Styela clava: one gene and its partner. The protein of the gene in region 1 purifies or fractionates together with the protein of each later gene. This does not show direct contact. Links are inferred from orthologs where the notes say so. Each region holds a gene or a part of one and is shown on either strand. Other genes may lie near its edges.

What was found.
Region 2: the proteins of mediator of RNA polymerase II transcription subunit 19-like (region 1) and DNA-directed RNA polymerases I, II, and III subunit RPABC2-like purify together in Homo sapiens (affinity purification with mass spectrometry; 3 studies listed by BioGRID and IntAct, with this or other methods). This does not show direct contact. The link is inferred for Styela clava from reciprocal best matches to the Homo sapiens genes MED19 and POLR2F.

The regions. Positions count from the first base shown.
Region 1 is NC_135257.1:12,132,921-12,140,648, forward strand, and holds mediator of RNA polymerase II transcription subunit 19-like, read left to right. Parts: upstream 1-4,618; 5' UTR 4,619-5,937; coding exon 5,938-6,621; 3' UTR 6,622-7,243; downstream 7,244-7,728. Other genes in the region: AP-4 complex subunit beta-1-like, read left to right, coding at 7,267-7,728. UniProt on the Homo sapiens protein: Component of the Mediator complex, a coactivator involved in the regulated transcription of nearly all RNA polymerase II-dependent genes.
Region 2 is NC_135263.1:9,242,075-9,247,663, forward strand, and holds DNA-directed RNA polymerases I, II, and III subunit RPABC2-like, read left to right. Parts: upstream 1-4,245; 5' UTR 4,246-4,256; coding exon 4,257-4,640; 3' UTR 4,641-5,084; downstream 5,085-5,589. Other genes in the region: 14-3-3 protein zeta-like, read left to right, coding at 833-1,618; uncharacterized protein LOC120340860, read left to right, coding at 5,149-5,191. UniProt on the Homo sapiens protein: DNA-dependent RNA polymerase catalyzes the transcription of DNA into RNA using the four ribonucleoside triphosphates as substrates.

The DNA of each region.
Region 1 (7,728 bases):
AACCTCAAGCACAAAATACTAAAACCAGGCACTTGTGAAATTTCAGGCACTTCGTAAAAACCTATTTCTCGATGTTTTTACTTACTTTGAAGCAGAAAACTAAAATATACACTCTTTTGTATGATTGAAATGACGTCTTTTTGGTAAAAAACAAGAACGATTGGAAATGGTGATGAGGGGTCAAATTTCGCAAGTGCCTGATTTTTCATTTTTTTCGATAACAGTTGCCATATATTTTCGCAACAATTTTTCTAGATTATTTGCGTCAACACTTACTATTCTTTGCTTTCTAACGCAAATTCATTGTTCCACATCAATTTGAGCGTTTTTAATATTGCAATGAGCAATACCATTTGACAACATATGGTCAACCATCGTACTTTCTGGATTTATTTGAAATTGAATATGAATGATAAAATCTGGCAACCTCAAGCACAAAATACTAAAACCAGGCACTTGTGAAATTTCAGGCACTTCGTAAAAACCTATTTCTCGATGTTTATATTTACTTTGAAGCAGAAAACTAAAATATACACTTTTTTGTATGATTGAAATGACGTTTTTTTTGGTAAAAAAGAAAAACGATTGGGACTTGTGATGAGGGGTCAAATTTCGCAAGTGCCTGATTTTTCATTTTTTTCGATTACAGTTGCCACATATTTTTGCAATACTTTTCATAAAATCTTTTTCGTCAGAACTTACTAATCATTGCTTTTTAAAGGAAATTCCTAGTTCTACAACAATTTCAGCGTTTTTAATATTGCAATGAGCAATAGCATTTGACAACATATAGATAACCATCGTACTTTTTGGATTTATTTGAAATTGAATAGGAATGATAAAATCTGGCAACCGCAAGCACAAAATACTAAAATCAGGCACTTGTGAAATTTCAGGCACTTTGTAAAAAACCATTTCCCGATGTTTTTGATTACTTTAAAGCCGAAAATCCAAATATACATATTTTGTATGACTGAATTTGGTATTTTTATTGTTCAAAACAAGAAGAACTGTCACTGGTAAAAATGTGGCAAATTTAGCAAGTGCCTGATTTTTTGGTTTTGTCAATGATAGTTGCCATATCTCTATAATTTTTGTCTTTTTTTTATATGTTGTTTCCCTATTGCATTATTTTATAAAAGTCAATGTTTGTATGAGAGCTCCACTTAGCATAAATGGAATTAAACTTTTAACATCAGTATCTACATCCGGAAATCGGTATTTAATTAAACCAATCACGCTTTTGCAAAACTATTTGAATATTGTAAAGTTTGAATGACATTGTGTTGTTTATTTTTTTTAAATTCAAAAGTATGACATATGTATTATTTAAATACGGGTTTAAATTTGACAGATCTGTAAAGAATATTAGTTATTCAGACGACATCTTTATAGTAATGTTCGGAACCCTTGAAATTGGTTCAAAACTTCTACTAATTTGTTATAAACATTTCGACGTAATATATTACCCAGGTAGCAACAATCGCATTGTTATAAAGAACCTAATTTGTCTTCTGGCAATATTAGTTCGAAATTCCAGTTTTAATTGTTATCGGACGACGATTTTAATAATGTAATTTTGGCCTATGACTTCATATAAACTACATAACAGAAACAATTGACTTATGTCGTATAGAATTTTTTATAATACGTATCCAAGTTACATTATCCCCTAATAGAACATAATTTACCGTTCACAAAATGTATAAAAGCCTGTGCAAAATCCATATTGACAACCAGCGGTGTTCAACCACGGCTACAATAAAGATATTCAATCACTTGCTGTTGCTGTTGTATAATATTCTTTACAACCTGAAGATCTGACTGTAATATCTTTTCATGGATAGTTTATGGAATGGATTTCATGGATAGTTTACGTAGAATTATTTGTACATTATTTCATGCTGTAACAGCTAACTGTAAAACACGTAGTTCCTAAATAAGAAGAATGGCTACAGGATTGTAAATACGAGATGGCAATGTCACCTAAACAAAATTCACTCGGCGAATGACATCAGGTAGCTGATATGCCCAAAGTTAGGCTTAAAAGCATCGTTAAACGAATGTTACAATAAAAATCCTTCAATATTCAACACGCCAGTAGTCAGTCAACGAATTTTTTTGCGTTATTCAAAAAGTTACAAATATATAAAAACGTAAAACAGTTTTTGTTTTTAATGTCACAGAAGCCGTATTAATCTCTCGATTATAGATCTTTCTTCATCAGTAATTGGGGATATAAATTTGAATTTAAATTTATTGAGGAGATAAAACATTAAAAACACAACTTCACAAAGGAAGTGTATGAGTGAACACTAATCGAAGCTTTCAGATTAAAAATTATTAGAAATATTGAGTATCCAATGAAAATCCTTACTATTTGTTCTATTTTGACATGATATGATTTACGTATCTTGCAATTAGGTAAAACCACAGATCTAAGAATTGAAAAAAAAGAAAAAGAATTTTAAATGTCAGTTCTGAAATTGAACATGAAAAGGTTTTGTGTATATTTTGCTACTTTTATATGTCGGGCGTATAGTTTCTTCATGTCGCGAAAGAGCATCAGAACAGGTTGTGCAGAAAATGGTGCTGCCGTAGTATGTGCACAAAGTTGGCACATAACCCGAACATAGTATGTGTACCAAGATAGAGGTAATAGGTTGTGCGCCATCTTGGAGCACATAGGCTACTACGGGAGCGCCCTGAAAATACCCACATTTGCAACACCGACTTACCGAATACAAATTTTACACTTCCACAATTTCGCTTTTGATACTTTCTCACATGTATCATGATACCAACGCTTGCAAACGAAGCATTGATATTGTACGTGCTCCCGTATACATTTCGCACTTTAACAGACACTCCAATTATTATTTTCCAGAAAGCAAAATTCATGCATCGGAATGTCAGAGTATATGAGTGGCGACGATGCAGTGCGACAACGTTCCAAATGTGATTGAATTTTTGTTGACTCCGACTTGTTCAATCTTCCATCTGGGCGTTTTGAAGAGGTATGTACTCACTTCCAATATAAATACTTGCACCACCTTCGGGCAGACGTCGAATTGAAATTAGCGATAAGAATAGCACTCAATATACATCGGATTGCCTAAAAAAACATTTTACCGAGAAAGCAAAGTATAGTAAGTACTAAGTTCTGACGAAAATGATTTTATGAAATATATTGCAAAAATATATGGCAACTGTAATCGAAAAAAATGAAAAATCAGGCACTTGCGAAATTTGACCCCTCATCACAAGTCCCAATCGTTTTTCTTTTTTACCAAAAAAGACGTCATTTCAATCATACAAAAGAGTGTATATTTTAGTTTTCTGCTTCAAAGTAAGTATGAACATCGAGAAATAGGTTTTTACAAAGTGCCTGAAATTTCACAAGTGCCTGGTTTTAGTATTTTGTGCTTGCTGTTGCCAGATTTTATCATTCCTATTCAATTTCAAATAAATCCAAAAAGTACGATGTTTATCTATATGTTGTCAAATAATATTGCTCATTGTAAAAACGCTAAAATTGTTGTAGAACTAGGAATTTATTTTAAAAAGCAATGATTAGTAAGTTCTAACTCAAATAATTTAGAAAAATTGTTGCGAAAATATATGGCACCTGTTATCGAAAAAAATGAAAAATCAGGCACTTGCGAAATTTGACCCCTCATCACCAGTCCCAATCGTTTTTGTTTTTTACCAAAAAGACGTCATTTCAATCATAAAAAAGAGTGTATATTTTAGTTTTCTGCTTCAAAGTGTATAAAAACACCGAGAAATATGTTTTTACGAAGTGCCTGAAATTTCACAAGACCACTGTGAAGCTAGCAGCATTTTCAGCCAGAATATTTTTACATATTGAATATAGTTTCCACGCGCATATAATGTTCACTTATAGTTACATATAAAGATTGAAAGATTGCACAAGTGCCTGGTTTTAGTATTTTGTGCTTGAGGTTGCCAGATTTTATTATTCATATTCAATTTCAAATAAATCCAGAAAGTGCGATGGTTGACCATATGTTGTCAAATGGTATTGCTCATTGCAATATTAAAAACGCTCAAATTGTTGTGGAACAGTGAATTTGCGTTAGAAAGCAAAGAATAGTAAGTGCTGACGCAAATAATTTAGGAAAATAATTGCGAAAAAATATGGCAACTGTCACCGAGAAAAATGAAAAATCAGGCACTTGCGAAATATGACACGCCTCCATCAGTCACAAACGGTATTGTATTTTACCAAGAAGTTGTAAATTCAACCATACAAAGTGTTTATATTCAATTTTCTGCTTTAGAGTAATCAGATACATTGTAAAATAGGTTTTGACCAAGTGCCTGAAATTTCACAAGTGCCTGATTTCTATATTTTGTAATCAATGTTGCCACATTTTACTATTGAAAAATTATTTATACCCTAATAAATTGGAAATAATATTGTTTTATTGCAATATAGGGATGCAAAAATTATTTAAAGTCCAATTATCTTGTCAGGTAAATTGGAAATCCCAATGACGTACGGTAAAAATAAAAAAATATCAAAGTGCCTAAAATGGTGCCTGAAAAAGTGCCTGAATTCGCGAGTGCCTGGTTTTAGGGAGACCCGGTTATTGTTTACCATCATCTAAAGCCCATGAATTTTATTGTTCAAATGAGTGGTCGTAATACTTACTAAATACAGCGCGAAACAGCGCAGAAGAGAGGGAAACATTTTTCTTTCATTATTTATAAGCGTCCGTAAAATTTTAAACAATTTGATGGGAAACAGTATACAGTTGTAGGGAATGATCCGAGTTTATATCAGTAATCTTCAATGTCTTTAAATAACCTAACAATACAGCAATGCGATTTTCTCTGAATTATATATTGAATTTGTTAAAGTACAGTACTCTCTATTTGGCAGACCAGCTTTTCTAATAATCATTTTCAATGCGAACGTTAATCACATCAGCAAATAGGATTGGAGTTGAGTTCGATGATCGCATGGTCGTGACTCGTATCACTCCCTCCCGTCCATATCAAAGCAATTTTTATTTTATTTTCGTTACATTTTTTTTCGTATTGATGACTGTTTGTATCTTGGTTGACAAAGTACCAAATATCTCTCTCTTTTTTATACGGAACCAGGTTCTGTGGATAAAAAAAGGGTTCTGTGGATGTGATCACCATTGTACTTGATTAAAGTGTAGTAATACAATTTTACACATGCCCTATACAACTATACAATAAATCTGATGTAAAGTATTGAAGAGTAGAAATATTTTTTTATCAGCCGACTCATTTTATGTCTTTATTTTATAATTTCATATTTTTTTAATCCATACTGACAGTTCGACCACAGCGTAAAAAAAATGGTCGGAGCCTGCATACTGACCAACACGAATCAATGTTTAAATATTCACTGTACTGTATTTCTATAAAAATCTGTACCTATTGTCCTTTCTTAACATTGTTTTGTGGAAATAAAATCTCTCTCTCTCTCTACCGTTATTATACCTAGTGAAAGAGGGGTTTGTACTGTTATAATTGTGTTTTAATGTGGGGGCTATTTTTGCAATGGGAAACGGTCCCTTCACATGTTCTGTGTCAAATTTAGTATTTCAATTGGCATATTTTATGATAACAAATATAATGAAATAAACATATATAATCAATTGCACAGGGGTTGCTTAAGCTTCTGGAATGTTTCATTGGGTTCTGCCCCTACCAAGAGGTTGAAACCCAATGGTTTATCAGGTTGTATAATTATTATTCTGTAATATATTTGAAATAATCTTTTCAAAGATGATGACCAACTTTTGATCGATATATTCATGATGATGCATGAGACAATCAGGTTAATCTTTAGTCTGTCAACCTCTTTAATATTTCGATATTGTTTGAACTAACATTAAATTTCATTTTTCCAGCTTTAAGTCATAAACAAGTAAAATGAATATAAGTTTGCAAGGTGGCGATCACCAGATTCCTAGCTCCGGATTAGGTAGCCATCCTAATAATGATCGTATGAATTTTTCACATGATTTTTTCCAACAGCCTGCCACAATGGAGACACAGCAAATGAACATTGAAAAATCTGAACCTCCTGTGTGCACTTCTACTGGGATATATTTATTAAAAGATCAGGTTGAGCCATCAGTTGTATCGGGAAGCACAAATCTTCTAGCACATTACAATTTAGAAACAACATATAACAAATTTTGCGGCGGAAAGAAAGTAAAAGAAAATTTAAGTTCATTTCTTCCGGATTTGCCTGGGTTTATTGACACACTTGCAATACAAGACAATAGTAGTTTAAAAGCGTTGATCGATCGACCCCCTGTTGGTAATAAAGAAATTCAACCACTATCACAGCCTTTATTATCAAGTTTCCGTTTGCATCCTGGGCCTTTGCCTGATCATTATCGTTCCTTATATCAATCAATTGACTCAACACGACGAAAAAGCAAGCATCATAAAAAACGTAGGTCAGACCCAATGCAAAATACTCATATTAATGAAGGAGAAGAATTTGAGCCCAGAAAGCATAAAAAGAAAAAACATGAAGATGGTGAAAAGAAAAAGAAGAAAAAAGAAAAGAAAAAGAAGAGGGAAAGAGATAAAGAAAGAACCTGATTTGCAGGACACACAAGAATATTTTTTGCCATCAAGTTCAATCATTCAAAAAAACTTGAGGGCGAAGTGAATCACCCATTTGGGACTAGCGATTCAAACCGGCAGATAGTTCTTGTTAAAATTGCAGATGGAATTTCAGGGCAATCAATCATATATTATTTGAATAAAACTTGCTGTCCCATTGATTCATCTTCGTCAATAAACTTGAACAAGAAAGAGCTATTTATAATAAGATGCGAAATGATAATCTCTTCTCAAATTATAGTCTTACTTTATGTTTGAATATCTTGGCCCTTTGATATTTCAATTGTACTGTTTTGGTCATAATTCTAGTCAAGAGGATTGTATGTACAGGTCTATATGCATCAAATCATATGTCGCTAATGGATTATGACGGGGGCTCTTTCATCTTATCAGCAAATATGCTGTAAAAACGGAATTTACTGTGATAATATTGATAACAGTTTTGCTGTAAATTTCATGTCATTTGCTTGAGATCCTGATTGATCAAATTTGGAATAGTATTTATATTCTATTTCAGAATATTACAGTTTATCTTTTCACTATATCTTAGGCCTTATTTTTAAATTATGTCCATCTTTTTTGTATTTTCTTTTTTAGATACTAAACAGCTCTATTGTTAGAATGAATTATGATTCCTCCCATGATATCAGTCGTAGACTTTCTAAGGAATTATCAACAGACTTAAATAGGAATTCTCAAGCAATATTGGAAATACTGAAAGATCTTTTGAGAATGTGTGATGGTGAATTACTTGAGTCTACACGTGTGTTGAATTCGGTTATACAGCTGACTCAAGTTAAAGATGTACGGGTGAAAAAGATTGTATATTTGTACCTTTCATTTGTTGGGGAACATGATTCAGAAATTTGGTTGCACATCACAAACTCTATATCAAATGACTTGTTGGATCCTAATCCATTTGTCAGAAAAGCTGCTATTCTTATTCTGACTGATTCCCATTCAATATCGTCTTTACTTAATGAGACGAGAATGAATAGCATTACTAATTGCTTGAAAGATAATAATCCATCTGTTCGAAGATATGCTGTTGCAGGCATCGGAAAATTGTACAGACTTTTTAGT
Region 2 (5,589 bases), on another chromosome or scaffold:
CCCTGTATATACATCTGCCAAACACATTTCTATATGTTATTCATTGAATTTGATGTTTTCTCCTGTACTAGTTCCTGTAAGAAGTTTTCACATATATCAGAAATTGGTTTCAGTAGATGAAATAACATGAACTTTATGTTCTTGTGTATAACTGTATGTCATAGTTATATTATTTTCATTAATTTCTTTTTTTGCCAAATTTCAGTATGCTGACTTTCAAATGTGTCATTCCTTATAGTGTTTTTATATGTAGTGTTGAGAATAGAGAAAATAAGTTTTGCTTTCTTCATCTTGAATTTCATTGCATTTATTTGTAATTCATCAGTAATCATCCAATAAGAGCAAATAAGTGCTGTTGTTTCGTCGTTATATTCGGTATGTTTTATTTTTATTTCGCTTTTTGGTACTGCATTAGTATACATATTGTTACATTTAATTATTTTTCAATAACAAATTCAATATTATTGTTTTGCCTTATGCGGACGTTGAACTGTGTATAATTTTTGATTTCACCTTTATAATGTTACATGAATATGCGATTGAAATATTTTGCAAATTTGAATAGTGCAATATTGAGATTTTATATAAAGAGGTATTCCTTAGTCCGTACCCTCCATTTTCCTTGTTTTCAATGGCTCTATTGAATTTGACTTGAAAATATAATTATCTTGAATTTTAATTAGCCTCAGGTTGGTGTTTATTGTATGTAAATATATGCTTTCTATCACTGCTTTGTACAATTTTCATTATCTCATCAATCATGCAATGAGCTTTATTTTAATATTCAGATTTATCACCAATTCCTAGTTTGAGCTTTATTAAAAATCTAAAAATGGCTGAACTCGATATCGTTGTCTATGAGGCAAAATTGTCTGAGCAAATGGAAAGATTTGATGATATGGTGAAATGCATGAAGAAAGTTGCTGAAGTTGGTCGCCCTCTCACTGTTGAAGAAAGAAATCTTCTCTCTGTTGCTTACAAGAATGTTATTGGTGCTAGAAGAGCTTCTTGGAGAATACTTTCCAGCATAGAGTCAAAGTTAAAAGACAGTGAAACTGTCGACAATGAAAAGTTATCCATTCTGCAAGAATATCGTAGTGTTATAGAAGAGGAATTGAGCAGCACTTGTCGTGAAATAATGGATCTAATTGATGAGCATTTATTTCCGAATTCAGCAGATGATGAGTCTAAAGTATTCTATCTGAAGATGAAAGGAGATTATCAGAGGTATATCGCTGAATATCAATCGGGAGATAACAGAGGGAAAGCTGCAGAAAAAAGCTTGAAGGCATATGACGAAGCTAGAGAATTGGCAAAGAAAAGTTTGCGTTCCACGGATCCTATTCGCTTAGGACTGGCTCTCAACTTCTCTGTTTTCTACTATGAGATCCTAAATCAGCCCACAGAGGCATGCGAACTCGCAAGAACAGCTTTTGATAGTGCGATTGCAGAATTGGACACCTTGAGTGAGGCATCGTACAAGGATTCAACACTGATCATGCAGCTACTGAGGGACAACTTGACCCTTTGGACATCGGATATGGCGGGAGATGACGCATGTGATCAAACAGAAGATGTCGTCTTGCAGGACGTGGAATCCAATGATGCCAAAGATTAAGAATTTTTTGAATATGTATAAGCATCTACAGTAACAATTGAATGAATAGTATAAAACTGACTGACTGGATAATTGGAATTTGCAAAATGTAACTTTAGTATGTAATATTGTGACTTGATCAACTTGTTATGTATGGCAACCGTCATTTGCACATCTCAATATCTAAATTAGCACTGAAAATAATTGTTTGGTTTGTAATGAAGTAGCCAGTTAGCAATCCCACAGCTTATAGAAAATAGATAGGCTAATAAAGAAACAATGAAAACATGTTAATAATATAAAGAACTTGACAATATGCTTGGAATATTTAGTTGATGTCTGTATTGCTGAATACTTGGTTTCAATTCAATGCTATTTCATTTTTTTTAATAAATATGTTCAATGTAATTTTTTACATGTAAAATGTCATTTTTAAAACTATGAATGATTCTATTTGGATATTTCGATGTTATATGACACTATTGAGGACTTTCCAATGTGACATTCACTGACTAATCGTAACATATGTGAGTATACTTTCCAAAAATCGTTGACCAAACTTACCCTTCTCTTTGAGAGATTTTTTCCGCCTAGTGATGAAATTAGTCTTTATATTTTTGTTCAATAAGACTATTGTACTAAACTTCAAAAATTTGTCATACGTTTCCACTATGGTTACTACTGATGTATAGTAAATATTTGAAAAGACGGAATCAGCAAAGTATCAGTTTTTGTTAAACTGCTTGGATACCATGCCATATAGGATATAGCAGGGATAGCCAACATGTTTTCTACCGCGATCGACTAAAATATTCAAAATAGCTCGCGATCGACTGATCGGTAATAATGTCACACACAAAAACAAATGCAGATAATTGTACACATGCATACAAAAAATTCCGCTCTCGCCAATAAGTTGCGCATGTACAGTGCTTTATTCATCCCGTTTTAAAACACACAATAGGCACTGCATGAAACTGGTACAAGTAAATTCATGTCATCATAAATTTTTTCCATGATTATTACTTGATTCGTAATAAATTTGATATTTCAATTTTAAATGATCTCTGGAAATTATCCAGTACAGGATATTAGGTAGCTGTTTTATACTTGTAACAATTTTGATGTTTGGTAGATGTTTTTTGAAAGCCCAATACAAAGTAATGGTAGTTTTACATCTGTACCTGACATTATTATTTGATGTATCGTTTTGCTGCTTCAGTTTCGTAGCTTGCTTTTGTGGATTTGCTTATACACAGTGAAAAAAAAGCCAAAAAAAATTATCCCAACTGTAATTTGTTCAGTTTTCTATAAAGGAACGATTACCATATTTACATCCTAAGAAATGTGATCGCTATTATGTTCTTGTATATTGTCAAATTTTTGAAAGGAATTCCAATTTCTTGTGGGAAATTTTGTACTGCAACATTAGTTCATTTTTTATTGAATTTCTTAAATTGCTATCAATTCTTAGAGAAAGTGTTGAAAATGGCATAATACCAAATATCATTGTATCATAATAGGACATTATATGCTTGCTGAATTCTGTTTTTGTTCCTGATTTTATATGTTAATTTGAGTCACGATATGAGATCTTCACTAACTACTATAGTTCTGTAATTTGAAAAGTTCTTTAATTTTTAAATATATTCCACTTTCTAACATAATTGATGTTCATTCCAATTAATGTCAGTACAAGGAAAACAAGTCATTGTATTAAACCACTCCTAATAATGTATGTTAAATTCACAGAAGTAATCGGTGAATGTTGGCGAATATAACTTCTATTTCTTTCAAATCCCTCTGCTAGAATACTCAGTAATGCCACTATAATATCTTTTAATGATTGTCTTGGGGTTTTTTCAATTATTAGAATAGCAAATATAACGACCGATACTACACTCCCGTGGGTCTTGGAATTCAACAATTTTTTCATTGAAATTTTCTCCATCTACAACAGCAGATAGACTACCCTTATTAATGGCTCCTGAGCTCATTTTTGAGTAATAATGCGTCAACATAATTCCGTCTGAACCCCAGGGAATGAAGGCTGTTCATCTTATTGTATTTTTGCAAATCTTAAAAGTTATAAGTGCTCGTGTACGAGTATAGCCAATGTTGATTGGGTTATGAATTTTATCATTACACTGCAGTTATTAAAAAGATCGATAGTACCTTGTTTTGACAATATGAGCTTTTATTCATGTTAGTGTTCTTTATTGTTTGGAGCAGCATCTAACATTTCACCTGACAATTTCATGACTTAATATTATTAATGACCCATGCCTAGTTGATTAAGTATACCCATAATAGAAGAATATTTAAATTTTGACCAAAAAATGCATATATAAAGATTTGCATTACTTATTAGAGCAAGAAAAGCATTTTATATCAGAATCTTCAATTGAAATTGTTATAAGTTAGTTGTTATAAAATAGTTAACATTTGGTTATAAGCTCTTTCTTCTCGTTATACAGATTGAATAATGAAAATGAAATCTATTCTGGGTATGCTTTATCTTCCAGTAGTTAGTTAACTTGTAAAATTTTGATTGTTTTCAATGTTTTTGTTATTGATGTCAGTAGTGAAATAGAAACTTTACATTACAGATTTCTAGCAGTAATTTATAAATAGTTTATTGTACTTGGATCCTGAGAAAATGTCTGATCATGAGGATGATGGTTTTGATGAAGGATTTGATGATGAAGGAGAAGGGATGGAGGATGTGGAAGATGCTAATGATGATAATCAAGAAGAAGGAGGTGTTGGGATTCTAGATGCCCATGAAGCAGGCCCTATAAGTCCTGCGAATCGTATTACTTCACCTTATATGACGAAATATGAACGTGCCCGTGTGTTGGGAACCAGGGCGCTACAAATATCAATGAATGCTCCTGTGATGGTAGAATTAGAAGGAGAAACTGACCCTCTACAAATCGCAATGAAAGAACTAAAAGCAAAAAAGATTCCTATTATTGTTCGAAGATATTTACCGGATGGTAGTTATGAGGACTGGGGTATTGAAGAGTTGATAATTGAGTAACTTGGACTTTACGAGACCGTATGGATTACTACGTTTGTTTGAGTAAAGCTATAGCTACTATGCATGTTCAAATCGAACTAGGATATTGACGAAGTGCGGCTGGCTTCCAAACTGTCATCTACTGGTGGACGACTTGAAATCTATTAAAATAATTATACTATTCCATGGTCTAGTAAATGTCTTGATTTTAAATTGGTTTTTAAACATTATTTAATAGGTCATTATCGGGGTCAAAAAAATTTCTAACCACAATTGAAAAATGAGCGTTTACCTGCTGGTTTCAGAAGTTTAGGTGAGCTGTATGACACAGAACAATACTCTTATTTCTACATTGTGTGTTGCCAGACAAAATTAATGTCACAATTATGTGTATTCAAATTTTGTTTGAAATTATGATACTGCATACATTTTTTATTATCTTAAAACTGCCATCATTTTTTAGAATCTATATTGAGTATTCCTAAATGATATTCTATATATTACTGGGTAATTGATTCTTGATATCAAAATGAAAGTTTTGAATGTAGCTGTTATTGGAGCAGGGGCTGCTGGTGAGTTTTCAGATTATTTATGTTTGTGTGTTAGTGTGTATCCATTTTCTATATATAAAAAAAAAAGTTTTATAAAGCTGAAGGATTAAATATGAAGACTCAGAATAGTTTAGAATTTAAGTCTGTCTTGTGAATAATTTTGTTAGATAAATTTAGATACGGTATATGAATCATTGTGTTCTATGAAAATGGGAATTCACAGAATCACAGAAAATCATCACTTTTTCCTATGAGTAATAATTTTGAATATCATCACACTAATTTCTTCCTAATCCAAATAACTCTTGTATCATCTGTTCAAATGGCATTCAAATAAAAAAAATTAGGTAGAAAATATTACACCTGAATGGGATTTCTTGATCAAAGTGCTGGATGGTATATATTTCTATCACCTCTAT